Schizosaccharomyces pombe: one gene and its partners. Changing the gene in region 4 together with the main gene of any one other region gives a genetic interaction. Each region holds a gene or a part of one and is shown on either strand. Other genes may lie near its edges.

What was found.
Region 1: mutations in SPOM_SPBC1348.10C (region 4) and prs5 together harm fitness more than expected from each alone (negative genetic interaction), as found in Schizosaccharomyces pombe (one large-scale study listed by BioGRID).
Region 2: mutations in SPOM_SPBC1348.10C (region 4) and SPOM_SPAC977.05C together harm fitness more than expected from each alone (negative genetic interaction), as found in Schizosaccharomyces pombe (one large-scale study listed by BioGRID).
Region 3: mutations in SPOM_SPBC1348.10C (region 4) and SPOM_SPCC965.13 together harm fitness more than expected from each alone (negative genetic interaction), as found in Schizosaccharomyces pombe (one large-scale study listed by BioGRID).

The regions. Positions count from the first base shown.
Region 1 is NC_003423.3:1,277,506-1,285,293, forward strand, and holds prs5 (ribose-phosphate pyrophosphokinase Prs5), read right to left. Parts: upstream 3,875-7,788; 5' UTR 3,845-3,874; coding exon 3,738-3,844; exon of another isoform or gene 3,688-3,737; intron 3,398-3,687; exon of another isoform or gene 3,316-3,397; coding exon 2,397-3,315; 3' UTR 2,247-2,396; downstream 1-2,246. Other genes in the region: phosphatidate cytidylyltransferase Ptp4, read left to right, coding at 853-928, 966-1,204, 1,527-1,868; pig-A family phosphatidylinositol N-acetylglucosaminyltransferase subunit Gpi3, read left to right, coding at 5,249-5,345, 5,406-5,485, 5,541-5,818, 5,862-5,977, 6,021-6,820; mRNA-decapping complex subunit Lsm1, read right to left, coding at 6,984-7,157, 7,235-7,350, 7,399-7,467, 7,516-7,579.
Region 2 is NC_003424.3:34,024-40,710, forward strand, and holds SPOM_SPAC977.05C (Vel1p domain-containing protein), read right to left. Parts: upstream 2,360-6,687; coding exon 1,745-2,359; downstream 1-1,744. Other genes in the region: SPOM_SPAC977.03 (methyltransferase), read left to right, coding at 1-249; SPOM_SPAC977.04 (uncharacterized protein), read left to right, coding at 326-793; SPOM_SPAC977.06 (uncharacterized protein), read left to right, coding at 5,408-5,825, 5,876-6,027.
Region 3 is NC_003421.2:2,306,220-2,315,287, reverse strand, and holds SPOM_SPCC965.13 (pyridoxal family membrane transporter), read right to left. Parts: upstream 3,790-9,068; 5' UTR 2,809-3,789; coding exon 1,195-2,808; 3' UTR 888-1,194; downstream 1-887. Other genes in the region: SPOM_SPCC965.14C (cytosine deaminase), read right to left, coding at 1-486; dpe2 (dipeptidyl peptidase), read right to left, coding at 7,746-8,996.
Region 4 is NC_003423.3:24,163-32,388, forward strand, and holds SPOM_SPBC1348.10C (phospholipase), read right to left. Parts: upstream 4,211-8,226; coding exon 2,258-4,210; intron 2,194-2,257; coding exon 2,125-2,193; 3' UTR 1,993-2,124; downstream 1-1,992. Other genes in the region: SPOM_SPBC1348.09 (dehydrogenase), read left to right, coding at 754-1,464. UniProt on the Schizosaccharomyces pombe protein: Catalyzes the release of fatty acids from lysophospholipids.

The DNA of each region.
Region 1 (7,788 bases), 1.3 Mb from region 4:
TTTTTAATAAAACTTCAATTTGAACAATTAACCAATAACTGAAAATAAACCTGATTTTGAGCAGACTTATTATTATTAAATAAAAATTATTACTTCTAGTTCATCAACTAAAGAATAATGGTTTTCGCATTTAATTTTCAAAATTGCTTGGCAATGATATAAGCTCTAAAATGGTTTCAGTTTCTTTTAGGAATTTTATTAGCATACATATTCAAGTTATCATTTTACTTTTTAATAGAAACTTTCGCGTACTTGAGAATTGTCTTTATATTTTCAATTAATTCTCCCATATTTGACAACAAAAAGCGAAACGTAAGAGCTCACAATAGCATCTAAAGTTTCGTAAAGTAGCGAAATCCACGTTGCGCTATTCTGAAGGTTCAGTGACTTATAAATGATTCTGCATTGGCTGTATGTCGATGCAGTTATTAATTCTCTTAATATATCATCTAAAGAATATTTACATCTAAAGCCATATAGTGTATAACCCATTCGTTTTGATACTGAGTCATCCTGCGAATCACTTTCAAAGCTATGCTATTCATCTAGGAAGTCGAGCTCTTATATTGGCAGTGATAAATAAATAAATTTTTTCCAACTGATGAAGGAAATAAATCGGTTTCTTTTGGGACTCTCAGGAAGTCATTCATTCTATTAATTTTGACTTTAGCTCATAATGTTTACGGAATAAGGAGGAATAGTGCAACGATAAAAAAATAGTGAGCTATATGCGAGAACATTCCTTGCCTCGCATATACCGATTCCTTGCATCACGGCCGGTATCGCTATTTTTTTTTTACCCATTAGAAATACCTTTAGATTGGAAAACACTACTGAGCGAATACTCATCCAATGTCGACTAAATTGACGTGGTCGCAATGGTCCAAAAAGCATGAAATTCCCCGTAAAGCACTCCATACTTCTATTGGTAAGTTGTTTTTATGACTTGGATTAACCGGGTCTAGGATTTTTTGCTCTATTACTTCAGGGATGTGGATACCACGCTGCTCAAATCATACCGGTTATAGAAATTGGATTCATACCTGCATTTACTGGAGATGTAATTCGTTTTAACTGGCCAGCTTTCAGCCGCCTTTACAATCGCGTTATTGGTCCTTTGATGCGAGAGTCCGAAAAAAATGCATGGAATGGTGTTATTTTTTATATGATCGGGGTATGGATTGTTTTAAAAGTTTTTCCAGAGGTAAGTAAAAGTCATTGTAATGTCTATCATTACTGTTATTATTCTTTAAGAAAAAGGAAGATATGGTTTTCCTTGTTCCAGGCGATCCGAAGGGTTTTGTTTTTTACTGGACATACTACTCTATAGAACCCATTTTTTCACGGAGAATGATTTTCTATTCTAAGTATTTGTCAGACCAAGCATATTGTTGTTGCATAGAGTTTAAGTTAGTATTTTTGATCATGATTACTCAAATCTACTTTGCCTTGCTTGATCTTTTCCTAACTTCACCTTCCTTCTTCTTTTACTTATATATTATGCCATAGTTACTAACTAAGTTCAGGAGATAGCAGTAATGAGTGTCCTTTTACTGTCATGGTGTGACACTACTGCCTCAACCGTTGGTCGAAAATGGGGCAAGTATACCCCGAAAATTGCCAAAAATAAGAGTTTGGCTGGAAGTTTGGGCGCATTCGTTTGTGGTGTTTTTTGTTGCTATGTGTACTGGGGCTTGTTTCGTACCGGTCCTGACAGCTTGGCCGCTCAAAGCAGAATTCCTTTCCCTTGGCTTTGCTTGATAAATGGATTTATTGGTGCCTTTGCAGAAGCTATGGATGTGTGGGGTCTTGACGATAACCTTGTAATTCCTGTCGTTTCTGCCTGTTTACTATATTTAATCATGTGATAACCATGTTCTTTTATACTGACATTCTTTTGTTTTTTCCATTCGTCCTTTCCCGACCACGTTTGAAAAATTATTGAATATAGTTATGTTTTGTTGATTCGCTCCTCCATTTATCACCATTTCTATTGTTCATCTTTTTTCCGTCTAACCAGTATGCGTACATACTGTTAAAATGTATAGAAATACCTACAAGCTTCATTACCCAGACAATTTTAGGCTTTTTGTATGAAACATGACGAAATCGTGCAATTAGACTGCCTATATAGTTTCTACATAGCTTGTACATATATAATGGTCGTGAAGAACCTTATATTTAGCAGTTTTACACTAGAGATTAGCTAAGTTGAAATTAGTTTTAGGAAATTAGCTTGATAATCATTTTGTCAACTCAAAGTAAATAATAATTATTTCCAATGTAACTGTCTAAAGTTAAAGTAAAGAAAAAGGACAATTGATAGTATCAAAAAAAATCGGATAGTCTTAAGCCAACTAGATCAAAACAAATTAAATAATATGAACAACGTACAGTTAAACCCAAACTTGATTGTGGTCATACAGTATTGAAATACTCTCACCATTGTGTATGCGACGAATTGCCTCCGCAAAGGTAGGAGCGACATCGATTATGTCAAAACATCCACTTGGTGTAATAGTTTGAGGAGCGGTGTTTGTAACAATAAGCTTGTCAATGCAAGAAAGTTTTACACGCTCAATAGCATCTCCTGATAAAACACAGTGAGTGACGAGAGCATAGATTTTGCTAGCTCCATGTTCTTTGACAAACTCTGCTGCTCGAACTAGTGTGTAAGCGGTATCAATAAGATCGTCGATGAGGATGGCGACTTTGTTTTGTACATCACCAACAAGCATCAAAGATGTTCCGTATTCATGTCGGCGATTCTTATGAATTAAAGCAAAGTCCAAACCCAGAGCATCAGCAATAGCAGTAGCACGTTTGGCACCACCAGCGTCGGGAGATACAATTACTGCGTTATGATAATTCGGGATATTAAGAGAAATGTAATGTTTAAGTAATGGTCGGCCAAAAAGATTGTCTACAGGGATGTCAAAAAAGCCCTGAAATTGGGGATCATGAAGATCCATTGTGATTATATGGTCAGCACCAGAGCACATAAGCAAATCAGCTACTAGCGTGCCGGATTGTGCAATCCATGGGTGATAACCAGTTTGCTTTTTGCATGGAACAACCGCATCTTGCAAGTCAGATAAAGGAGCACCGGAAAAGGAAAATTTTTGATCAGGTTGACGACTATATGGGAATACAGGAAGGACGGCGGTAACCTTTTTAGCAGATGCTGTTTTACAAGCAGAAATCATAATTAACAGTTCCATTAAATGGTCGTTTACCTGTCCAGATGCTGGACTAACAATATAAACGTCGCAACCACGAACGGACTGCTTAATTCTCACCGAAGTCTCGCCATTGCTGCAATAAATACACGTTAATATAATCAAATAGAAAAACATAGATAGATGTGATAAAGAGGTGGAATCAAAAATGGAATAAGAGTATGCATTCAAAGATGATGCTGCCAAATCTTTATCAGTCACTAAAAACATTAACTAAATAGAGACTAAGATCAAATAATTATGAATTAAACATAAAGTAAAAACCAATTAACAATTAATGGACTGAAAGTGCGAGTATAAAACTGTCAGTAGGGGCAAGCTACTCGACTATCTAAAATTTTTGATAGCTATCGACCCGTATCATGGTTGGGTAAAACGGCATACTTTCAGTAGTGACTTTAGCTTTTAAAGAAAATCATTATAAATAGAAGATTTATAGGCAACTCCAACCCTCCCAATTGCTACAAACTCTTCGAACACTCAAATGTACTTTCTTACCTAAACTTTGAAAGTTCAACCCGGCCTATATCAAGACAAAGATGTTCACAAATACTTTCTGTAAGCTTGGGATGCGATTCTGTACCAAAAACAACCAAATTTTTCATTGTTCTGTTTTAGGTGAAACAACCTTGTTCAGGTTAAATAGCTCTTCCAAACTCATCGAAAAAACCTCTGTTTGGTATGTCCGGGGAAAAGCCTCGGCAACCACAACTTGGGATAGTAGGTTAAAAAAAGGCGCTGGAATGTTTTAGTTTAAAAAAATAAAACTTTTTTAAACTTAAGAACCATCCCTACAATTTTTGATCAGATCAGGAGTGGTCTTAATGACTTCGACTTGATCGTCCAAATTTAGCTTCCTTTTGCAGCTATTTCGCTTGATTTTCGACATCAGCAAGTAGATTTAATTAATATGATAGGTGTAATTTGTAACTTCTATTTTAAGAAGATTTGAATAACCAACGTTGATATTACGGTCAATAAGAAGTCCAAACAAGTTCATATTGAGGAGGACAGCATAAGCACACTTAGCTAGGCGTCAAATTTGTAAAATTCACGAAAATAAATAATATCCGTACAATCTCCATCTTGGTCTGTGTTCGCCTTTATGGTAATCAGGTTTACAAGATTCACACATCAAAAAAATACCACATTTAAGGTGTTTTTCTTTTTGACAGGATTACCTGTTTCAAAAGAAGTGGATATATGCTCAATGTGAAATGGAGAAAATGGTCTTGAATCATTGTTGAATAGATTGGTGCAGATTGATTTTAATACTGTAAACTGTCGTAAACTACTGTTTCATCCAATTGTCTTCACCTATAGAATTATTTTTTTTTTTAAAAAAAAAGCAACTAAGGGCTGCAGAACGATTTTGACAACTCAAGCACTTCAAGCGATACTTCCTCCTTCTCAACATTAAATAGCTTGGCAAATATTTGTGAGAATAATTTGCCGTAAAGCAGCCTCTCTCAAAGTCTTATTTAAAGTAAACTTAGGGTGTTCTTATACGTTAAAGAATTGTTAAATCCTACTCTGTTTACTTCTTTGATGTCAGAACACGATTTTAAGTCATTGCTTTTCATAGAAATTAATATGTTTATTATTTAACTTTCAAAACACTTCTGTACCTCAATTGACTGTGAAAGGCTGATTTCATTTGGGACTAATTTTGTTGTTCTTACACTCACCCAAATTTCTAATAATATGCCATTGAAGAGTAAACAACTCCCAAAGTAGATTAAAAAAAACCAAAAATTTCTTTGAATGAATAAAAAAGTTTAAAATTCATCTAAAATGGGATACAGGGTCGCGTATGTTTTGAAATGCAACTTTCACAATCAATATTGTTTGTTAAGGAGATTTTCTTAGTACAAAATGAAGCCTATAGCATTTTTTATTTTTTAACATTCTTATGATAATATACTGGCTTCAATAAGCTTCTATAAATCACCTTTTCTCTTAGATTGAAATCCCAACGTTCAATAGATTGCTAACTTTGTATGCTTAGAATGGTATCAGACTTCTTCTTTCCTCAACCTGGGGGGATTGAAAGCCATATTTTTCAGCTTTCTCAAAGATTGATTGATTTAGGGCATAAAGTAATTGGTATGCGTTTAGCCTTATGATAATGTCAACTTGTACATGCTCTAACATGCATTATATTAGTTATCACACATGCTTATAAGGATCGAGTTGGCGTCAGATACTTAACTAATGGGCTAACCGTTTACTACGTGCCGTTACATGTAAGTTTTTAATTGAAATTTTGATCGCGCATAGCGTTGAAACTAAACAATGCAGACTGTGTATCGTGAAACAACATTTCCTTCCTTTTTTTCCTTTTTTCCAATTTTCCGCAATATAGTCATTAGAGAAAATATCGAAATAGTCCACGGTCATGGCAGTTTATCCTTTCTATGCCATGATGCTATTCTGCATGCTCGTACAATGGGCTTGAAAACTTGTTTTACCGACCACTCTTTGTTTGGTTTTGCAGATGCTGGCAGCATCGTTACAAATAAGTTATTAAAATTTACGATGAGCGATGTAAATCATGTTATTTGTGTCTCTCACACTTGGTAAGTATCTCATGAGCAAGTATTTAAATTATTAACTAAGAAGCCGCGAAAATACGGTGCTTCGTGCAGTTCTAAATCCAAAAAGAGTATCCGTGATTCCCAATGCCTTAGTAGCGGAAAACTTTCAGCCAGACCCATCTAAAGCTTCAAAAGATTTCTGTGAGTTTTTTCGTTTATTAAGGAAAAAATCTAACATTTTTAGTAACCATAGTAGTAATCTCAAGGCTTTACTATAACAAAGGCATTGATCTTTTAATCGCAGTTATACCCAGAATTTGTGCGCAACACCCTAAAGTACGATTTGTTATTGCTGGCGACGGACCCAAGTCAATCGATTTGGAACAAATGCGAGAAAAGTATATGTTACAGGATCGCGTTGAAATGCTTGGTTCTGTAAGACATGATCAAGTTCGTGATGTGATGGTCAGGGGTCATATTTATTTACATCCTAGTTTGACCGAAGCTTTCGGCACTGTTTTAGTTGAAGCCGCAAGCTGTGGTCTTTATGTGATTTCTACAAAAGTGGGAGGTGTTCCTGAAGTCTTGCCTTCCCACATGACACGATTCGCCCGTCCTGAAGAGGATGATTTAGCTGATACACTTTCGAGTGTTATTACTGATTATCTTGACCATAAAATCAAAACCGAAACTTTCCATGAGGAGGTTAAGCAAATGTACTCGTGGATAGATGTCGCGGAAAGGACAGAAAAGGTTTACGACAGTATATGTTCAGAGAATAATCTTAGACTAATAGACCGTCTAAAGCTTTATTACGGATGTGGGCAATGGGCTGGTAAGCTATTTTGTTTACTCATAGCTATAGATTATCTTGTAATGGTTTTACTAGAATGGATTTGGCCAGCATCTGATATTGACCCAGCGGTTGACCGCGTATCCTCTACTTTCAAAATTTCTAAGCAGAACTTTGACGAATCTCTGGTATTAACGGACCCCAAAAAAAAGACAAAGATAAAAACTGCATGTTTAAAAGATGCACAATGATTACTAAACTTTGAACGAACGGTAATGGGATTATGACGATTCATGTCTTAAAAATTACATTACATCCATTTAAAAGGGGAATAAACAGCGGTCGAGATAGCTTTCTATCGTGACTGTAAACAAACGGTATAGCAATATTGTGATAAATTTGTTCAACCGTTGTCTAATACAAATCATCATGTCCGCCGTCAACACTAAAGCCTACAGAATGAAGGTACTTGCCCTTCTCACGTATATTTTTCTTCTTCTCTTCTTCATGAAGCTTCGCCAAAGGATACAGTTCTTCAGCAGGCATACGTCGCAATTGTTTGACTGCATCATACTCCTTATCCAAATCCTTTTCGAAATATTTAGCCCACGTTCAAAGAAATTTATAAAGATGCTCGAATATTTTATGTTACAAACGAAACTTACCAATTCACCTAAAAGCACGACGTTCTCGCCCCGAACAATATACACACCTCTGTCTATGTCCCCGTACATATCATCCACATAGATCCTCTCAATCGTGTATTGCAACATTAAATTTGCTACACAGTTAGTAAACTCACTTATGCGCCTATTCACGCAAACCATACCAAATTGATCAAAGGACCTTAAAATTCCAATCAGTTTTTTTCCATCTCGTAAAACAACAATCACTTTTCCTAAAAGGTAAAGTTAGATCAAGGAAAACATTGGAAAAAACACCGTACTGTCTACGTAGTCAACAAGTGACCCAGAAGTTGTGAATGGGATAATCTGTGTAGCTTGATTCATTCAGCTATTATTTGGATGTAGCATAAACTAATAATTTAATTTAGATTTAACTTTCTATTTCTTTTATAAACGCCTGATGACTTTATTTGAGTGTTTTCCTTAAAAAACGAGTTCGAGGAGATGGTTAGAAGCAAGTGCTCTGAGGTCGTCAAATCTGGAATCCTAAATTCTCCCTGTTTAACCCTAAAAGTGCTTCTGAAGTTTAAATG
Region 2 (6,687 bases), on a different chromosome or scaffold from region 4:
GATTTTTCAAGATTAAATGAATTCAAGGGGCATTTCGACACTGTGATTGACATTGGTTGTTTTCATTCAATTCTAAATAGTGATCATGAGCCACACACAGCTTCGTTAAGTCATATATGTCACTCTGATAGCTCCGTTTTCCTAAGAGCGTTTAGCGAAACAAACAAATCACGTTATAGACGGTGGCAGGGCCATAAAAGGTATTCCCTCGCTTTAAAAAGAAACAATGTCAAAAAGCTTTCTTTATAAACTATTGGAAGATTGAAGACATTAAAGAAGAAAAGTCCTGCTTACCCTTGGACTTTTTTCAGCAGTTTTCATTGCCATGCCTATCAACCAAAAGTTTTATTCATATCTGGTAAAGCGAAATGGTGGTGAAGGTGAACCTGAATTTCGACTTCCTATGGGTTTTATTGGAATCACACTTTTTGAAATAGGAATTTTACTTTTCGGTTGGACTGCAAGATATAAGATTTTTTGGTTTGTGCCAACAATTGGATCAGCCATTATGGGTGGTGGGTACATTATGACTTCCAATCCCTTAAACATGTATGTGGTAGATTCATATGGAATTTACTCAGCCAGTGCGTCAGCGGGTGTAAAAATATTTCAACTATTATTAGGAGCCATCTTTCCATTATTTGCTGAAAGTCTATTTCGTCGACTGAACTACGGATGGGGGTGTACTTTACTTGCCTTTATTTTATTAGCTTGTGGCTGTAGTCTTCCAATCTTATTCAAGTATGGAAAACAAATTAGAAATCTACGACCATTTGACCCCTCAAAATACTAGTTGATTTAACTGATCAAAGTGAGGATTTTCACACACATTTTCAGAGTACTTGGAACGTGCCGAGCTGATTAAAAAACACCGGTATTAACAAAAAATTTTATTTATGAAGCAATACGCTATTTCGTTATGAGAAACTTGATTCAATGAAACTATTATAAACCTTAAAAGCGACTTGAGCTCAGTAGCTTATAACATTTTATTCAGCATTATGTTTTATGTTTTCTATTTATAGAATCATTAGTCTTTAGTTAGCCTTACAGCTTCATCTTGCACAATAATTTTGGCTGATCAACTCTTATTCTAGGGACAGTTTGAAAAATCATACCTTGTCTCGTATTTTAGACTTTTAGGATCTGTGGCTCTAATTTGTGACAAAGAACATAATTACATGTTGGACCGTACTTAACGCACCTCAGTCCTTCTTTGATCTCTTGGCTCTGTGAAGATAAACAAAACGTACAAATCCGTTAATGGTTATAACGACGATGAGAATACTCAATACTCGGTAAAATCAAATGTGTTGCTGTTCATTTTAGCGTACTGCCTAGCGCGGATTTGTTTGATAGACTCATTCCAAGATTGTCGATCTACTACGAATGATTTGCAACCGCTTGGAAGCCGAGTAACTGTTTGTCGCTAACTTAAAAGATTTCCTGTTATGCTTTTTTCACTAGTAAAATGAAGTATGCTATAACTTTTCCTTACCATTAAAACACAATAAAAAGCGAAAAACACATAAACAAAATCAAAATACTTATGAATTCCGTTATTTGTTAGAAAATATGTTTAGTATAAGTTTAAAATAAAAAAAAAAAATAAAAAAAACAATTTACAATATTTTATCTAGTATAAAGACTTTTATTGCTTAAGCGTTTCTAATTAAATGTTTTTAGAGGATAAATTTAACCCCTATTTTTAAATCCCACGATTTAAATAACGATTATATATATATCAGTTGAATCCCTCATCCAAAGGACAAACTGGTATAAGTTCAATGGGCTGACACCAACTTGGCATGCCTTCCTCGTTATTAAAAACATTGATTGTAGGACTATCTAACAATAACGCAGAGAATCCGGGAGTACATGTTGCTACTTGAACATTATATAGAGTAGAATTCATCAGTTGGTTGCTAAGACCCGTTATCCGACTTGAATTTTGTGCTGTATACGCCCATGCATCAAAAGAAATTTCACTGGTAACAGTATTCACAAAAGGGATCATTGCATTTTCAATACTTTGAGGATTGCATGTTTTCAAATACGTTGTAAATGTCAAGGGAGTAAAGTTGGCCGTGTCGTTTTCAGCTATCGTAAACAAACGTGGAATAAGTCGAGGTTCTTGTTCCAACATACGCTGAAAAAATTCACCTTTACTTTCAGTCAAAGCATCAAGACCTATAAATGATTTTTCACCAACGTATGTAGCATTCGTTCCTACTACTTTCAGTAGATACGTACCACAATGCGGACCGCGTAGTCTACTACACTCAAGATCAGTGAGGTTGAAGCGTATGGCGGTAGCGAGCCCAATGAAAAAGAGAGATATTAAGTTTTTGAAAATCATATGGAAATATCTTTTGAATGTTTGTAAAGAAATGTTTGATTTTAGTCGGTTTATATAGTTTTTTTTTTCTTTTTTCAGCAACAAAAATAGATTAACTCGTACATATATAAAATGAGATATTTTCGCGTAGATCATGATCGTCGCAATTTCAAACGTTGCAAATCACCTTTTTCTTTTTGAAATGTCACCAAAAGTGGTAACAACTGCAAATCGTTGAGGTAACGTGGTTTTCCCACTAGTCAATAACGAATACCAATTTTTATGTGATTGCGAATTTATCGGCGAGTTGTGACACATTTGTCTCAGAAAACACACGCTTTTTTGGTCTTTTCTCTACTGCTCAAATTTGTTGCTCTTTTTGTTGTGTAGATCTTCCCTCTGATTTTCAAACAAAATTTGCGGTTTCCCACCCATTGTTATCAACGTCTATTATTCTTGGAAAATCTTCCATTACATTATTGAATTTGAATAACGAGGCCAAAACAAACAAATGAAAATCTGCTAATTCACGAAATGGTACTGGTTCCATTAGATAAGGAAAAATTCGAAAAAAAATTATGTTTCTTCAGTCGTAGTATGCCTACTGGATTATCATTAGCAATATGAGTAGCTTTTATCCCGTTTATTATATTATAAACGATTCGGATTCCTATCGATTTATTCTAAAATAAAATACCCGTCAGTTATTTACTTGGATTTTAACTTAGAAGCCAAAAAACGAATCTTCAACCAGACTGAACTGGAAAACATTAATTAAAGAGATTCTCGGTTGTAGATAGTTGTAATTGTTTCTGTTTCTGTTCTGAAAACTTGTTAATATAGTAATCCCCCACTCTTTTTCCATATTTAGTCTTTGAAGAAAGCGAAGCAATTCTTATACTACTCGTCTTTAACGAGTTGCATATATACCGCCCTATTTTTTTGCAGTTTCCTTTAAAAAATCTCATTAGAATGTTTCAATGCATACTTAATAAATCAATTTTATCAAATGCTTTGTTGTGAATATATTCTTAAAACTCATTCATTTCTTGTAAAGAAATCTTTCTTTATATGAAATTTGAAATATTCGAAATTTCATCTTTATAACTAGGTATTTCTCAATACTTTTACATAAATTAAGAAGGGAAAAAATTTGGGTTTCCTTTTTAAATCAGTTAGAGGCGAAACCTCTAACGCTTTTCATGGCTTCGTGTTAAATGTGTAATTATTTTTAAGAAGAAATACAAACACAATTAACAGATGTTGCATAACATTACTTTAGATTTGAATTTCACCTCTTAGATATCATCCATTCACATGTCAAGTAGGTGCAGTTTGTGGTTAACATATATTATTACATCTGTATTTAACAAAGTCTAGAGCAAAGAAGATATTTTCAAAATGCTGGAAGGAGAAATTTAGAATGTATGACTTACCTTGTGAAACCCTAGTATATTACGTTTTCGTAGTAAAACTAGTAGCAGGTGAAATTTTAGAGTAGTTTGTTGACGAATGTTTGTTTCAATTTTATCGCTTAAAAATTAAATTTGTTTTAGATTCATCTATTTCCATTATAATTTTTCTTTTTTGTAACATTATTCAAGTAAGGTTATGTGTATCAAAACAATAACTTCTGACTAACTACTCGAATAACAACCAAGTATTCCACTATGATTTTTAATGATGAGCCAATATTCAAGATTGATATAATTTCCAAGAGATGTTTACAAATTCCAGTTTATAATTCCCTTACGCTTTTCTTCCTCTGTATCTCTTGAAAGCCCGTTCTACTGCATTTGCTAAAAATGCAATAAATGTATGAAAGTTAAACTCAATAATCAAAGTCTTTATGTAGTATTACAGTTATGAATTATTGCGACATTTCATCTTCAGCCTTACTCAAAATCTGAAGGATTCAACATATGGCAATTTATTTGTTTTTATCATGGGAAGCACTAACGATGAAAACATCAATAGACCATAAATCATCATTTCTATATGAAAATGTAATATAATTTCTAATACAGGAATTCCTTCTTATACATTTATTTGTAACATTGCTTCATGCTTTTTTCCCTTTCATTTTCAGTTTTCTTTTGTTCCCAAATCCCAGAGCCATAATTTAAAGAAAATATGAACTGGCTAAGCGGAACCAAAAGTTTTCAGTACAATTGATCTAAAAGAGTTAGTCCGATGTATAGACTTAGTCGTTGATTCCTATTCTTTACTTTTTCGCAAGAGAATAAAATTTAGGTAGCGAACGATGTTGTAATTACATACGAATATAAATTTTTCAACGAGATTTTTTTTTATTTTTATTTTTATTTTTACAATTTTAACACAAACAAATCTATAGTCTTCCATTTCTTTTTATTTACTTTCGCAAATACTCACACCTTAAACATGATTTTTCGTGTCAACTATACTTAACTATATGCTTTATAATGCTGCTACGTAGTTAGGTTGTTCATGTTTATAGCTATTGTATGCGTACGATGTTTTCAACTATTATTTTATAAAATCAGCATACTATAGATCGAGTTTGATTGTACTACCATACATTATTATCATTATCAATGTGTCGTTAATAATCCTGTATACTTGCAACCGTGATGATGAACAATCCAACATAATTATTTACACACAAATCATAAGAACATGATTTTCATTGCAATTTATGGTATCCTTAACACTATTTACAGACTTTGAAGGGAACCGTATATTAATGCAAACTAAACCAACTTCGTTATATAGGAATTGCGATAAAAAAAGTTTGTAAGTATTACAAGATATTCACATCATAATGTTTTTCCCAAATAAATGAAACATCTCAGAACGTAAAACATTCACCAATTTTGATCTTTTTTTAATTCTTTCATTTATGGCTTTAAAATGTTTTATTATATTTTCTTATTATCTTCCATAAACCACACTGTTTAATTTTACATTGTAAAACATTACTAGTGGTGCTAAAGCTATCAAATTGCAGTGCTGTGGTTTTATTCCAATGTCAAATCCAGAAAGCGCAAAAAAAACAGGTTGACCCCCCCTGGTTACAATGAGTTATTTATGGTAAGAGATACTCGTAATGTGGACCTGGAGCGGGGACTTGAATTGTGTAAGCCTGAAAAGGTAAACAAACAAAATCTCTTTACCAACATCATCAAGCCTCAAAAAGATAAAATAAACATTAAGACAGATAAAATAAAGTTCTTTTTAAATAACCTTTTTACTGAATTTTCTAAATTTCATGATAGTTGTTATCCTGATGGTAGGATTTCTACCCGCAGTAAACTTCGTTGGCCCTTGCTTATTATTTGGTGTATTTTGATTGTTTTCGCAATAGACAAGAACTTTGAAGTCAAAGATTTTCTTTCAATTTGGATAAATGAAAGTTTTATAAATGAAAATCGGTTTTACAGTGAAATTTGGGGGCCTATTGCTATTTACATTTGTTTGTTTGTTTTATTGTTGCTTGGTTTAATTTGTATGTTTCCTTTACAGTGATGCCTTTTTTTTACTAATAATTTAAAATAGACTGCTCCAAGATTGTTGTAAAAGCTATACCATTGATCAGTATAGTTATAGCAGCGGTCGTAGTAATTATCGCGGTGGCTATGGTTAAAATTTTATACATCTGCCATTGGCTTCTACAAAATTTTAATTTTGGCTTTCGGCATAAAAGTTAAGCCATTGGGAGACACTCTTCCTACACATAATGGAGAAACAGGATCACATTCAAAGGCAACAGTTGGTTCTGACATTGAACAAATAGAATTTCAAAATATGCCCACTCCTGTGAAAAAATAATTTTCTTTATCGTTTTATGATCGAAAAGAATATAATCATCCTTACCAATATTTTACTGACTGTACCGTCCTAATCATGCACTAAAGGTGCGTCTGTTATGAATTTCAATTATGGAGTCAACCTAATTACGGTTTTTAATGAAGTATTATCACTTGATGTTACTAATGTTTTATCTTTCGTTTCAAGTCTAATCAAATACTATGAATGTCATTTACTGCGTCACAAAATGAATTCTTAATGATACATCATGAATGACTCGTTTTTAAAGTTATGTCTGAAAACTTGAAAAATGCAGCATATGGAAATTGTTAGATCGATTGATTCATTAGCTCAATAAATTCTTAAATTGCAAATTATATTCTGGCAGCAAAAAATCGAGTTATTCAGAGTCTTTCAAAAACTCTGTTTACGTATTGACATACACATTAGACTTAGCTTTTCAACAATATACTGCTGCTACAAAAAAATAATTTTCCTTTTTGGACCGGCTCGTTGCAGACGAAATTTTAATGTACTACCTCTTGACCTTAATCGTAAAC
Region 3 (9,068 bases), on a different chromosome or scaffold from region 4:
TCTTCCTCCATCCCAAAAGCCTTTATGAGGGATAATAGCTTCATCTTCAATGTAGGGACCCACCACCTCAATAGGATGAGAGGCAGCTCCAAGAATATCTCGTGAATTAATGTATAAAGGCGGGCACTCACCACTTTTCTGTGTCAGTTTAATCAAATTTTCGTTCGATAAGCCAAAAATCATTCGGCGAATACCAGACCAAAATATAGCACCAGAACACATGGCACAAGGCTCCGTGCTGGTATACAGAGTACACTTCTCAAGGTCTCTTCTTGTCTTCGTAATCAAACCTACGGCACGGGTCTCAGCATGTTGAGTTACATCCCCGTCTGGAACTCGATTTCCCGCAGACATAATAACATTGTCATTTTCATCAACAATAATGCATCCAAATGGATGTTGACCTTCATCACGAGCTTGCTGAGAAACTTTGATGGCCTCTCGTAGATAAGCTAAATCCTTTTCTGAAAGTTCAGTGCTGGACATATTGTATGTTAAAAAAGAGACGCAGGTTGTGTTTTGACTATATGTATGTAATTTATAAATTGTGTTAATTTTTCCAACTACATGTTCAAAGAAACGACATGCTATCTATTGCTACTTGGAATTCGGGAATTGTCGATGAATCGGTTGACATCGATTATGATCGCCGTTCTGGAAAGACAATGTAGAGCAGAAGAGGTCAGCTCAGTGTCTGAAGTTAATACATCTACACAGTCGGTCTACGCTAAAACCATCAATGCTGTTTCGGTCGTCCAGAATACATGGGGATTGAAACTCGCATTTCCAGTCATCATTAGCCGATTAGGAATATAATACTACATAATCTATTAAACATTGCTATTTTGCAAGTATAAACTACTGTGCGACTAAAAATTACGAGTGCTATAAGGCAGCTTTTTAATAAACGTAACTTTTTAAGCTATATTTTTTAAGACGACTGTAATTTCAACTGCAATAGCTGTAGTAGGACAGATTTCAATTAGTAAACAATAACTAGTACAAAAAAGGTAGAAAAGAATAGCGAATTATCGACAAAAAGAAGTAGATGCATATTGCCAAAAAAGAAGGGGTACATACATAATCGGGTGTTCACAGTAAAAGGAAAGTTGGATGAGTGTATATCAATACGAACATAACAACTTTTACATATGCTAACATGAATGATAAAAGGGAGAAATGATGGAATAAACACTACACTTCAGGTAAAACCTTGGCATCATGTGCTTCTTGTAATGCTTGTTGAGTAACGGCAAGTCGACTGTGTTTCCGAATGAGATGACCAAAGAAGTAAATAACATAAATCGTGGCCACAAGCGACAAACTAATAAAAGCCAAAGTTGCCATGGCCCAAGTGGTAGTCATATTGTCAAACATGATAATACCAAGATGTACAAGAACAGCAGCAATAGCAAAACTTGGTAAAGTGAAAGCAGCGATGGCGGAGCCAGCAACCGATGGGTAGGAATCAGTAATATAGTTAATCATGGCAAGCCAAAGTTGAGGATCACCAACACCTAAAACACCACCTGCAATTAAAGGACTTACCCAAGAAATTCGGCCATCTGAAGTAAAAGCGAACCAAAACAAGCCTGCTGGGAAAAACCAAACGGTAAGCAGAGAAATCAAGAAACGTGCTTCTGGACGCGCTACACCTCCATGACGCCTTTTATCCCAACGATAAAGCCAATTTTGAATGGGTTGAAGCATAACAACGATGGTGACACCAACCAAAAAGTTCAAATAAGTGAGATTTGCACCCATGTATCCCATTTTGTAGTTGTCGACAAATACGGGAAACAGTCCATCCAAGTAAAGGAAAATCAAACCATACGCAAAGCCGTTATACAAACCCAAAGCCATAATGATAGGCTCTGTACACAAAAGTTTAAAAGCGGTGGATAAGACAAATTTTGTACGAACTACAGCTGATTTAGCTTTGGCAAGAGTAGAGACTTGAACGGTTTTTTCTCCAGTAGTAGAAGAATAGTTCATGATGTTGATGACAGGTAAGGTCTCAGGACACAATACGCAAAGAATTACAAAGAAACCACCAACAATCATATTCATCCAGTAAAACCAACGCCAATGATCATAAAGAGCCTCACCAATGGGGGACCCAATAGAGGCACCTGCATTTGCACCCCAAACAAATAGAGAGATACCAAAACCGACGGTTTCAGGAGTGAAGATATCACACATACTACTTGCAACGTTAGCGAGAGCAGAACTACCAAAGGCACCAGCAATAGCACTGTTGATTGCCATCATGGGTAAGTTATAAGCAAGGGCTTGGGGAATTTGGAAAATAATATAAAGAATTAGAGAGCCAACATAAACCCATTTACGACCAAAAATATCCGACATGGGACCTAAAAGCATGGGACCAAAAGCATTACCGACAATGAAAAGACTTTGTACAAGATAGGAGACTTGAATACTGCAATGCCAATTAGTTTGATAAATATCAAAGAAGTTGATACAGGCGGTGGATGACCAAATGACATATACCTCTAAAAATGTGTAAACGGTAGCAACAAACAACTTTTTCCACAAGGGCCATTTATGAGGATGAGCGGGATGGTTGGGATCAATGGACATAAGAGCCTTTGTGAGATCCCAAGCATCAACATTTTCCACCGAGCCCTCTTCATCCTCCGACATACTAGGTGACTCATGTTTCTTGTCTTTGGCAGAAGTCTCTAGTTTGTCTTCGGTAACGATAGTTTGCCCGGTCAATGGAGGCTCCTCTTCAACATTCTGTGGTTCCACGTCGTGATGGGAGCGGATGACATTAAGAATTGACATCGTGTATCAAAAAATAAAAAAATAGAATAAGAAAAGACAGCTAGAAGAAAATGAAGAGTATGCTGCAACGTACGCAGTAACAATCGACGCAGAAGCAAAAATGGGAGGGGAATTAGGAAGAAGAAGAAGAAAAAAGAAAAGGAACAGAAATATAATATATGTATAAAAATCTATATGTCTTATAAACACAGCAGGAAGAATTAACTTGCTATGTAAAAGTTTGTAGGGAACGAGTTCAAAATAGGTAAATCCAAAGCAGATAAAAAAGGGGATCAAGACAGTATAGAGAATTTATAAATAAAATAAAACTAATCAATGATGAAGAAAATGGGAATGAAATGCTTATCGACTCTTGTTTTTTTTTTTTAAAGTGAAAAGCAATAATTGAATCCAAGGAAAGAATACTAAAATTATAAAGTAGAGGGTATAGGGTATTTAGTATAGTATAGAAATGAATGGCCCAAAGAAAAAGTGGATTGCCAAATTAAAAGAAGAAGAGTAAAATTAAACAAATTGAAAACGATAACTAATTATACACACCACAAAAGATACACACACACACACAAAAAAACCCACGCACACAGATACACTCACACAAGCAACAGAAAGACCCAAATAATACAAAGTATGTCTTGAATAACAGACGAACCGATAATCGCTCTCACACAAAGTCCGTTGGGTGAAATAAAATGGGGAGTGGAGGAAAAAGAACAAAATATTCTTTTTTGCTTTATTATTTTTGATTCTGTTTTTTTCTAAACCAAGAAAACAACAACAGCCCTGATCCCTTCTTATTACAAAAGCTAAGCAATCAATTTGCTATGTCCTACTTTTTTTTCCGCTGGTTTTCCAAACGCAATTCGCAACTCAACAATGCCGGTCAATATCGTTTTATATGAAAAAATACGCAGTCATCGAAGTTTCAGATACTTTTGCTTTTGCAATAGATATGCCTTCAAATCTTAGATAAGAGTAGAGGACAAAAAACAATTCTATGGTACAATCATCCTGACCCTACTATTTTAAAGATGAATCTAGCCACCCCAGTCCAACGTAACTACCGCCCCTGCTACCTTGCCGATGCAAATGTGAAGATTGCAGGTTAGGGGAAGGAAACACGTTAGAAAAGCTTATCGTTTTTCCGGGAGCAAAACGAGGAAAAGAGGAAGAAGAGGAAAAACAGGGTAAAGGACGTCGGCAGGGCAGCGGGAGTAGGGCAGCAAAAAGAGAAAGGAGAAAAGAGAAAAGAAAGAGAGAGAGAGAGAAAAAAAAAAAAGGCAAGAGAAGAGATGAGTAAAGTGGATAGAAGTATAGTAGAAGAAGAAAAAGAAAAAGAGGTAAATGGTAATTTTAGAGTTAAATTGTAAATGTTTTGATTATTAATTCTTTCATTATATATTCTTTTGTTATTTATTTTCTCTTTACTCTTTTACTCGTTCCTCGTTAAATTTCTCAAAATGTTTTCTCTCTTCCGCTAAAAAAATTTTCTTCTTCTTCTCGGTTGGCCATTTTCTTTTTTCTTTTTCTTCTTTTTGCCTCCAATCTCTCTTTGCTGAAATCATTTGATTTTCTGGGTCAAATACATTTCCATTTATTGGTTCATTTACTACGATTATCAGTCTCTCTTCCATTTTGTTTAACAAGCTTATACCTCAATTTACGAACCAACCCAATTTCACTGCAGTAACAAAATAATAATATCACACATTTATTACATCCCAGCAATGCGTAAAATCCGGTACTATGGAGTATATTTTTAATACAAGTATATCGGGCAAGTCAAGAAGCAAAAACAAAGACAAAGAACAAGACACTATCTAATCATTACTGATAAGAATGAGATTTTTTTTATGTCGTTACACACACCGTTTTCGTATTCCACTGCATTGCTTTTGCTTGGTGCTTTACATCCTCGTTTCCCTGTGCGGTTGCATTCCACGTGCTAGAGATTAGCGAGTGGAAAGTGACAAGCACACTAGTCCGTAAATTCGTATCATGGAGAAAGATGGAAAAGACAAGGCCCATTCCATTCTTTTTGAGTCTATATACAGGATGATGGCTCTAGCTATCAAATGAATGAGTAAGATTTGTAAGATGGAGATAGGTGTAGGAAGGATTGGGTTGGTGATGAAGGGATGCGTAAATTGTAGACGTAAAGATGTAGGATGAAAAATAAAATGGGATGAGAAAAGGCTAAGGTCGACACTATGTTTGTCATGGGTTGAATAGGTCAATGAGTTGAATAGTCAATGGACGATTGACTATGCACAAAAGCACCATTGATTGTTTGAATTGATTTATCACAAAGATGATTGATTCATCATGTCTTTGATTTTATTTTACATTTCAAAATTGTGTGGTGCTATAACACACCTCTCTTTTCCTCCTCTATCGCATTACTCAGTTCTTCTCTCTCTTCCTCGTCTCTCATCGCTATTTCCTTTCAGCTGCTCTCTCTCTTTTTCTCTCGCTATCCCATTTGCGACACCCTCGGCTTCGTTGTCATGAGGGAATTCCTCGGACACCCGGTCCACGACCGGCAAAGACTTCGGCAGAAACACGGTATTCCCGAAACACTTCCTCCGCATTTTTCTTTCCCCCCTCACCCCCACATAGGAACTTTTTCAAAGTTGTAGTCAGTTCCTTTTAGCTAGTAGCAAAGTGGTTCATGTTTGCAGTCGACTGGGGGACATGGGTCTATGTGGGGGATGTACATTTACCAAGATGGCTGGCATCTACGGGAAAAGGTAAGCCAGCCAGGCAAAGAAAACAATACTGAGAAATCGAATAAAGGGTGAATCTGAAAAGCACATACAAACATACGCAACCCTTAAGGTTTCCTTGTTTGTCCTTTTTTTTTTTTTTTTTAAGATTCTATTTTCTGTTCTCGTTATTTAATCTATTTATTCAATTTATTCATTCATTTTTTTGTTCCATTTATTTATTATTCATTCATTCATTCATCTTTTTTTTTAATTTCCTTTACATTTTCTATGCGATCCTTGCTTTACGACTTCTTGTGCTCCCTTTTTGACATGTAAACAATGTGATTGGAAAAATCATCCAGCTCCGGTAAAAGTGGATCGCATCCGTTTTCCTCTTCACAACTTGAAATCGTGTTCAATAAGTTCTAGATGTGACCTAAGGAAAGAAAAGCTTTAAAGTATACAATTGACCGATGCACGAATCGCTTCAACAATTTTTAAACGTGTGTAGATCGACTTTCCTTCTTAAACTATCATCTTATATGTACTTACTCAAAAAGTAATTCATAACTAAAAACAAAAATTCTACTGCCGACAATGCAACAAGATGGATTTGTTGAGAATTAAATTAGCATACATTTCCTCCTTACATACTTCCTTAGCCATGTCTGTGAAAAAGTAGAATATGTATAAAAATGATCTGCAAATATGCAACTACAAATGAACATGTTATACAAGGGGAAGCCAAGTCAGGCCTTGTTGCATGGTATAGCTAGCTTACCTGCCAATGTTTCTGCAACTCAAAAGAAACTATTTGGTAATTACCATCTATCGTTTATTTTTTTCTCCACATCAAATTAGTCATCCCGCATCTAAAATCCGTTTTAATATTTTATTGCACAAGTCATGTGATTAAGGTGTCCTTTTGAACATGTTTGATACGTTCGTTCAAATGATTCAATTAGCTATCTTTGTTTTTTATAATATGGTCCGGCTTTATGCAATTTGGACTCTTTATAAAGATAAGACTATTGACATATGCGACTTTTTCTCTTTTGAGCATGTATGCAAATTTACCGTTATAAACGTTTTTTTAAGACATGCAAGGAAAAAAAACCGTAAAAAAGTAAAGTAAAATAAAATAAAATGATATAAAAAAAATAATAAAATTAATTTAAATTAAAAATGCGAATAGATTGTAAAAAATAAATAAAATTTTAACAGATGAAAATAGAACAAATATATTAATTTACTTTGTTTAAAAAAAAATTTTTTTCATAATCGATATGATGTTGCAAATACTTTTGGTAAAATAAAACGTAGTAAAAAATATTATCAATTAATCGAATTTGATCATTCACAAATTTCATGCTCAAAAGTCTACACTGACAAAATGTCGTCTTCATTATTTTACTTTTTCTTTTCATTAACAGTTAATCATAAAATTTTTCATAAAATTACCATATAATTTACTATTGTTGAAAAACATTGTCTACGGCCATACCTAGGCGAAAACACCAGTTCCCGTCCGATCACTGCAGTTAAGCGTCTGAGGGCCTCGTTAGTACTATGGTTGGAGACAACATGGGAATCCGGGGTGCTGTAGGCTCCTTCTCTTATTATTGCTATTTTATTTTTTTAATTTTATTGTTTAAAGATAGATTGTGGGCCTTATGCCCTGTTAGCTTATTGACAAAATCATGTATGGTTCAGTACTTTGAATCTCTGTGACTTTCGAACAAATCATTGCTTCATTGCTTACAAAGTAGTAGATTGATAAATTGCATCAACATATCAAATTCTCGCATGCTTCTTTTTCTTTATTTCATATTTCTCTAATTGTCTTATTGCTGATTCCTTAGCGCGATTTTCATGTAGCAAAGTGCTTCTTTATGTGGGTCTGATTGCTTGCTTATTCCATTGATTTATAAAACACATAATTTTATTCAACGTATCTCTACTATAACTATACTGATTAATAGAAAAACTTTTGTAAGTTCATATTTACTTGTCGAAACTACACAATGTGGATACGAACTTAACCGAAATTGCAATCGGTCCTTGTGATCTTCCTTGGGATAATTCATAGGTTAAAAATCAGTAGAATGAAACATGTTATTGGGTATGAAAGAAGGACATGCTGCTAAAAACTCTCTGATGACTTATTTTTTGTAACCTCGAAATGAAAGCTGGTTACTTCACCTTCTTAAAAAGTCAACGATCCTTATGATATTATTTCTCAATGTTCAAAGGCTGATCATAATTCCAAACAGTACTCTTTTCATTCAGTTTATAGGCGTCTGGAAATAGCTCTGGAAACTCTTTAGCATAGCTGTAAAACTCCCACTTTCTTCCAGACCAACTTGATTCAATGGGCTCCAATTTTTTAGATAGTTGCAATGCCACTAACTCGGTCTTTTTCCAAACCCGGAGCACATTTAAACCCATTAATCCTTCAATTTGTTCGTTTGTGGCATTCGTCCTTTCAATTATTTTACAGATCAAATCGGGATATTTAGAGACGTCTTCCAATCCCTTGGGGCCTTGGGGAATTCCATCGAAATCGGATCCTAAACCGACATGCTCCCAACCGGCTACCTTTATGATATGTAAGATATGATCTGCAGCATCATCGATTGTTGCACGGTCGCTTCCAGGCTTACGAATGAAATCTTGATAAAAGTTGACTTGTACGACACCACCATTCGTTTTCAGCCTTTCCAATACATCGTCTCGGACGTTTCTTTCGTGCTCTGTAAGTGTGTATGCGGAGGAGTGTGAGAATATTACGGGAGCTTTGGTTACATCGAGGGCGTCATGCATAGTGCGGTGGCTTACATGCGATAAATCCACCATCATACCGAGTCGGTTCATTTCAAAAATACACTCAATTCCATACGCTGAAAGACCTCTGTCTGGAAGGCCCCCAGTAATGGAACTAGCTGCCGTAGCAAATGGGTTATCACAATTATGAGTCAAAGTTATATATCTCACACCAAGTGAGTAATATTGTCTTAATACAGCCAGAGAAGTATCCACCTGGTGCAAACCTTCAACTCCCAAAGCAATTGCAATTTTCCCATTATTTCGAAACGCTGCTATGGCATCGTCTGCACAATCGACAAACTTCAAATCATTATTGTATTTGCAAACCAATCTGCGAGTAACGTCAATCTGTTCTAGTGTATCGCGCACCACAGTAGTAGGTGTATCAAAGTCTTGGTACAGGTAATTCGGATTTTTGCATTCAATGAAGCAGCTAAAAAATTGAACTCCGACTTGACCTTGTCTCATTTTTACAAGATCCGTGTGACTAGTTAAACCGTTCTCAAAATCAAACTCCGCCAGCTGCAGCTTATTTCGTAATTGAACTCTCAGCAGGTAAGGGAAGTCATTGTGTGTATCAACAATTTTCGCATGCTTGCAAATTTCTTTAAATCTTTGCTGTGCGAGCTCTTTCTCTTCCCTAAGATCAACCGTCATTTTCAACTATTATCAGCTTCTTACTGCGACGATCACCATGGAATTTATCTGAATATATATAGATATGGGTAT
Region 4 (8,226 bases):
TTTAGTTTCTGGTAGTTTACTTTTTCCATCTAAAAGAAATAAAGAAATAGTGATTTTAACGTGTCTCATTAACTCTATCTTAATGTTGGATTAGTGTAAGATAAGAATATATTTTTTGCTAAATTTATAGTCATCCATAACTTTGTTCCTTTCATGCTTACCAAAGTCTTTGTTTGATTCGTCTCTAGGCTTCGTAAAAAAGCAACAACGGGTAACAAGGTGATTGCAAACACTATATTTATCTGTCTCCCAAAATTTTCTTTGTTTTATTTTTACTTAAAATTAGCTTGTTTGCTATTTATATTTATTGCATGGTTGGTTTATAAGGATTCGTTTTATAATCCCGTGCGTTCGCAGCAATATTGAATGTTAACAATGAACCCGTAAATTTATAAATTTGAAAAAAGTATATTGACTATACGATTTAAATGTACTAAACTTTTAATAGCTTTCATATAAGGAAGCCAATGTCTTGTTAATTGTAGATTTTTTTTTTTTGGCAATTAAAATTCATTTCACTTTCATCATTGTTTTGCATTTACGACTGTCTATCGTTTCTGTGGAAGATGTAAAAGTAAAGCAATTTAAATAATTCCTTTCCTCTGAACAGAGAAAACAAGAAATAATTTTTTTATAATTTTATTTTTATTTTATTTTTATTTTTCAAGTGTTCTTATTCGCATGATAATTGAATATACTAGTTACCAAACTATTTAAAAAGCTTATATTTTGCAAACATTATTTTTTGCTACTATGCGTGAACCCAAGAATGCCAAAGTGCTAAGCAGACTTGAAAATGTTCTGGTGACTCAATTAGATGTAAATAACTTTTCTTCGATTAAAAAATCTGTGGAAAAAGCAATTTCGCATTTTGGTAGAATCGACGTGTTACTAAATAACGCTGGCTATTCCGTCTATTCTCCACTTGAAAGTACTACCGAAGAACAAATTCATAACATTTTCAATACAAATGTGTTTGGCGCTTTGGAGGTTATCAAAGCAATAACTCCTATCTTCCGCTCACAACATAATGGAATGATTATAAACGTATCATCGATCGGAGGAAAGATGACATTCCCACTTGGATGTTTGTATTATGGTACCAAGTATGCAATCGAAGGTATTTCTGAAGCTCTGACTTGGGAAATGCAAAGCATTGGTGTAAAAGTCAAGATTATAGAACCTGGTTTTACAGCAACTGAATTTAGGGTTGAAGAGGGTGCAGGTAAACATTATGCTGAGTACGACAATCTGAAACAAAAGTTGTACGAAGACTTGCTACCTAAATTGAAAACAGCTACACCACCGCAAAAAATCGCAGAAGTGATATTGCAAGCGGCAACGGATGAAAGTGATGAGCTACGATACCCTACTGGAGATTATGTTGTTGAATGGATGGCATTGAGAAGCAAAGTTGATGATGCTACATTTTTAGCAACACACCGAAAACAAATGGGTCTTTAAACGATTTCGTTCTACCAATTGAATATTCCTCTTTTACTGTTTTTTGTACCAAACTGTTGATAAATCTTTCAGCATTTATTTAGTTTCCTTCCTTTAGGAAGTTTCAAAATACAGTAAAATATTTAGTAGTGACTCCTCATATATTGAATTAACAAGTCTCTGTCTTACTTTTAAATGTTTGTAGTCAATTTTATTATTATCTATTTTTTAAAAAACCGGGAGCTTTTAAAACAATCTATCATTTAATGTTCATCATTAGCACAACGATCTTGGACTATTTTTCATTCAACTTGTGATTCCCAATTGTACGTATATATCAATTTAAAGCAATGTTGTATTTAATCGTTTTCATGCTTACATTCTTTCGTTTCGTGTCTTTACGTGAATGCACATCGATCTCAGATTGAGCCAACTAAGCCTGTTCATCCATTCGACCGGTTGCATTTATCTAAAAAAGTTTAGAGATAACAAATTATTCATTTACCCGTTTACATAGCTCCATCAAACGTAAAGGGTTTAACTGAGCAGTCTCACGAATGAGGAAAATCCTTAGTTCTCTTTCATAACGAATTCGTAACCAAGTACAATAAAGGTAAATCTATCTATTCTAAATTTCTCACATGCCTGAGAATCCATTGAAACAACATCAATGGAATCTTTTTACGGATTTTCTTTCGCTTCGAAAATCGAGTCCCACCAATGTTTATGAGTGGGAGTGGCTGATGCTACCTAGAACAAAAGTTAGCGATGAAAAAAAAAATAGTTTAATCAACGTGAATTTTTGAGAACATACAGATGAAGATGTTGTACTAGAGGCTGTACCCGAGGTTGTGCCTGACGGTGCACGAGATGTTGTCGCAGCAGACATTACGGTAGGATCATATACAGAAGCCGTACTAGTTGCAAGAGTTCCGTCCCAACAGTATTCTTGGAAACAAGAAGAGCACTGGGTAGGAGTACTCAATTTCTTGCGTTCCAAAGAGCGTTGAATTATAGCGCATGCTAAGCAAACTGCAAAAGATTCATTATTGTTTTGCGTAGTCGACATAAATGCATTCTCAAGAATTCCATTAGCCATCTTGTCGTCCATGCTCATAGTAAATGTCGATATATTGGAATAATAAGTCCAAGGGTAATTTGGAAAGTATACAAGGAGAGGTGGGGTATTATTGTCTACATCATGATTTCCTGCTGTAGTATTTTTACCGTCACATCCAAAAAACGTAGGACGAGTGTTTAGTCCCAAAGAGATAATAGTGTTTTCGTCCGGAATATATGGAAATCCACGCACATCAACACTCTTGTTCGCATTAAAGGTTACAACTCTCTCATATGTAGCAACAATGGAAGATCCAAGGGGCCAACCATAAGGATCATTATAAGTCGAATCAATCGCAAATACAACGTCCACAAATCGTTGTGGGTGTAACAAAGGCCAAAGGGGAATGTTTTCCCTATCCTCACCACCATCAACTAGATCAATAGTATCATACGGTTCGAACGCATTCACTACAGAGGTATTGGAAGTAGTATAATTTTGGTAAGGATTGGGATAAGGAGCAATATCATCTTGATGCTTAGAAAGATCTTCAAGAATCGCATGAAGAATATCGTAATAGGTATCATTCTTTTTGACATTTTCATTCCAGTCAAGAAGAAAAGAGTTGAATAAAGTAGCTGAAGTGCCCATAACAAAACCTGCATTATCATAGTTATGAATGCAAGACTTATCGGGTGGAACCCCATCCAACAAGTGAGTTCCCACATATTCCATTGGAATGAATGCTTTAATTCCATTGTCCCATGTACCAAATTCATACGCCGTGAACTCAAAGATACTGGTATTGGCAGGGATGGCCGTTTCTTCTTCTAATCGGCTATCCGCAACGATGATGGGATAAGGATAATCAGCATTTTGAAACCAGCTTTGATTTCTCATACTGGAATATGTAATGCCTGGTCCTCCCCTTTCAGCATCAACAAGTTTACGGGACAAAGCACGTCCCCATAAATCCGTCAAAGAACAGTCAAAGCCCGCATGTTTCTTTTGATCAATTTCTTTGCGCAAGTCATTATAATAATTCAAATTTTCAATGACATTATCCCCATGAGGAGCAAAAACGCTATGTTCCAAATTCCAGACATTATCACGTAAGTATGTTATATTCGTAAAATTATTAATAGCCACTGATCCAACAAGCCATGAACCACCAGAAAGACCGCTGATATACATCGCGGATTGCAGCAGACCAGAAAGTGGAGAGTCACTCTCGAATCTTGAGTCAAAAGCATTGAATGCACCACCTCCATTAACCATCGCCCGTAACCCACCACCTGAGAATGCAATTCCTAAACGTGGACCATCCGAGCTGTTAACCACCTTATCCAAGTCAACATTCAAACCTGTCTTAGAAATAAATGATCGGAGTTCACTGTTAACCTTAGAAATACGTTTGTTGATATAGCTCTGTTCGCCCTCATTTAAACCTTCAGAAGCCGGCCTCAACAGATTGTCGTTTGAACAGGTCACATTGAAAGGGGCATACGAAGCGTCGGTACTTCGTTTTACGAGCGCAGGTTTCCTTTTAGACAAAGTGTAAAGTACGGATGTATCAATATCTTGTCCTTTATACGAACTAGATTCTTCAAAATCATATATTTCAGAAATCTCCACACGACCGGGAGGATAAGCTAACGTCAACGAAATTTGAACGAAAGCAAAGAGTCCAATATAGTTGACATACATTGCAGAAAATAAAAAAAGTTCAAACAAAAGCTGTAAAAATTGAAGTTCGCATGGAAAAGTGTACTACACGGAAGAATATTAAATCATATATTACTCTGGCGCACTACACATCTCTGATCCGGAAGAAAGAATTCCGAACTTTAAAAGCCCCAAAATTTGTCGCGTTATCTCAAGATCTGTCTACAAAAGTGATCTTAAATACGAAACAATGCTTGCTGCAAAATTCGCAAACGTTAGGCGGATACAATTTAGTACGGCAAGCTTTTACTTTATGATCAATGTTACCTTAAATTTCTATTGAGTAACAAATGTTACAAGATATGTATGCGAACAATAATACCAGAAGCTGATCGCTCATCATCGAATGGAGTTAATTACTTCGCTTATACAAAATAGTTTGTTAGTATTACGATGCATAATCTGAAATGGGAGCGTGTAAGGGAATGATCTGATGATCACGTATTGATTATAAATATAAGTAGGAGGATGATAGTAGGGACATTCGATGTATGGTGAGAGGCAACGTAATCTAGTGTACTAGCGCGGATACACGAAAAAGAAAACGCCAATAAAATGCATAGCGAATTCATGATTCCACGTTTAACACATTGCATGCATTTCAACTAGCTTAAGTTATTTTGATCTTCATATACTAGGGAGAAATAAGTTTTGTATTTTCGAGTAGTCTTTGTTCATAAATCCTCGCTATTATCACAATTATTCGACTTTCATACATGTAAATATCTTTTCGCTTGACCTCGAGAAAACAAATTTGTTTGTTATTTTTTGCAACATTTGACATTATTTTATGATATGTCAATAGTAGTTTTAATTGCTCGAACGTACATTTGTACTTTTTGTCACACCTGCTTAAGTTGTACATCGCGGTAATTTCTTATTATTAAAGGCCATTAACCTGATTGTCTCTTTAGATCTCTCTTGAATTGTTTGTTTTACTGTATCTTTCCGAAACAGTACATAAGGTTGTAACTTTTCCACACTAATTTCCTAATCATCGTTATGCACAAAACATTTAGCTGAACAAAGTTTGATAGTTTTTGTATGGCAGCTTGTGATGCCTTTTTATTTGTTCTACTTTTTCTTCAAGTTGGAGATAAAAGAGCACTTTTTAGTGATCAATTATGCTTTAGGCTTATAGGTCGTATTTCATTTCCACGATCAATAATTACTTGCTCATTTACCCACATCAAATCTACATCGTGTGCATTGTATTTATATTCTCTACTCATGACTACCAACTATAAGCATTGAACAAGAATATGCTGTTTCTAATATTTGTCATTGTAGCCAACGTCGTTTTGGACTTGTTTCAAAATGATAGTGCTAATAATTGCATTTATATTTAATCATTTTTGGATTCATTTTTTTCTCATTTGCTTGATTAAAAAATTAACATTATTGTTGAATATTCTTTTACTGCTAATCGCCGTTTAGTATCGCTTTTATACTGCCGTTCTGCTTCTCGACATTATGCGACATAAACTTAACTTTTACAGAAATATTAATCTCACGAATTATCTACTCATACTATATTCCTATATTGGTATAAATCTTTTTTTTATCTAATTTTTGAATTTGTTAATCAGCAATTTGATCAACTTCTATTCATGAATATGTTGCCTACATGACGCTTTTCAATTGCACAGCAAAATTTAGATAACGTTTTAAATAAATTCACGTATTCTATAGCACGTTACCTAACGTTACCAAGCTGAGCAATAAACTTGAGATGTATTGTATTATCTCTTGCTTCTTTTTGTCTATGTTTATTTTTATCTGTCAAGCTTTCTTACATGTATGATTTAACATAATTTGGTTATTTATGAGATGCCGCAAAGAGTAAAGCGAAAAAACTGCATGGAAAGTATTGTCGTTATTCAACACATAATATACTAAGCCGTACACAAATTTATTTTTGTTAAAGATATATGGTACAATATGTACGGCTAGGCAAGTGCAAAATTAACTTCAGTGTTCTTTTATAACCTTTTTATTTCCAAGTAACGTTTTGACATGGGCGGATTTACTATAATCGTTTTGATGCGTCAGCTTTAAAAATACTCATCCGTGATGTTTTAGCATAACTTGTTACGCAGTATAAATAATTTACAAAACAGATCGATATGTTCAACTTGTTCATAAGTGGTTTAGTCGTTCATTTTAGTAACAAAATTCAAGCATTACCGTCAAGGTAAGTTTTGTATAAAAATAGGTTGGTTAGTCAAAATTTTTGATTGATAAATTTCAAACTCAAACATTTAGTGGCAGTAATGAACAATCTTTGTGGTAAGGTACTCTAATATTGCTCTATCAAGGTACGTTATGAAATTCAGAAATGCAATAGCTTAGCCGCCAAGCTCGTACTTCTAATGAAGAGATGTGCATTAAACATGGATCTAATGCTTTAAACTAATGAAATCCTTTTGAGAATTTCAGACCAATTGATATCGCATACAACACAGAATCCCTTGGATAGTAGACTCAGTGGCTGCTGTGTTATATGATCTGCGAACAATAGCAATCGATATTAAATAAAATGATTAAAGAAAGCTTTTTTTATTACTTGAAAATTTACAGAAGAACTATATAAATTTTACTGTTTATGTCCTCTTGCATCAATGAGCTCAGTTGCAGATGTTCGAATTCGTAATGATTATACATTTCCCGTCAGTTGAGAACAGAAATTATTGCCTGAAAAAATTTGAATTAAGAGCTTGCCTACAGTCGGGCTCTATTTTCTGCAATTTAAACGTGATGATAAAAACTAATGTATATCCACCGTAGAAGATAGAAATATGAAGAGTACACTAATGGTGAAAATTTTGAGCAATGTAGAACGAAGAGAGAGGGCTGCCTTTGGTTGATAGTAAAAGAAAAAAAGTAAAGCTGTAAAAGTCAGGATTGACAATGACAAATTGATTTTGATCATTACAGATACGTAAAAAACAAAAGAAGCTTTAAATTCTTGAAAAAGTAACAATAGTTAAAAGGAATGATTAAAGATATAACAACGAAGAAAACTAAAAAAGCCTACGAATTAAACATAAAGGGAAAAAGGCTGTATGCTAAGTCGTTGATTGAACTGATTATTTTTATGTATTTTACCCAATTTTAATAACTACAAAAAAATTGAAGCATTGGAGAAAAAGTTATGAAAAATAAAATTGACTAATATAATAAAGTCAAAAAAATAAAAAAATTAAGATTAAGGTTAACTGATTAAATTTTTTTTTTTTTTTTTTTTTAAAGATTATCCCAAGCTTTAATTATAAAACCTTCTTTTATTAAAATAATTAATGAAATTATTCACTTAGATTATCTTTTTTTAGCAATATTTCTATTTTTTTTTTACCAATAACTTTGCATTTAGTATACAAATTCATATTGCTAAGCCTTTTGAAAAATTGGTTTATTTGTCTCTCTTCTCTTTTTAACTTAAATAAAAATAGTTTTTTCTCAATTTCGGTTTCCTTCTTTCATATTAGGTTTGTTGCTTTAACCTTTTGGCTTTAACAATCTTTCAAGTAAGTTTCATTGTAATTCTCAGGAGTGCGATATTTGAATTGAAATTCTCATTCTTCATTCCCAAATTAGCTTCGTTTACAAATATTCTACATTATTAGAAGTCTAAAAATTGCTATTTTGTTGTTACCTAATAGAATATATATTTATTTATTCTTCTGCTGTTCCATACCTGCCTTTCTAAAAAGTAAAAAACGAACAAAACGAGATACCAAGCTAAAAGTAACATATCGGTCTTGTGACTACGAGTGAGCTTTCTGTGTTTTTCAAAAAACATATTGATCTAAATGAAACTTTTTTTCTTTCGTTGCAACATGACTGTATTTTCTCCTTAAGTAGTTGAGCTCATTGGAAATGGTGAATTTAAATGATGGTCTAAACGTTTCGATGTTTAAGATAACTTCTATGTCCAATTATAAATATTTGATATACTAATTTTATACACAGTGAGGTAAAATCAAACAGAATTGTGT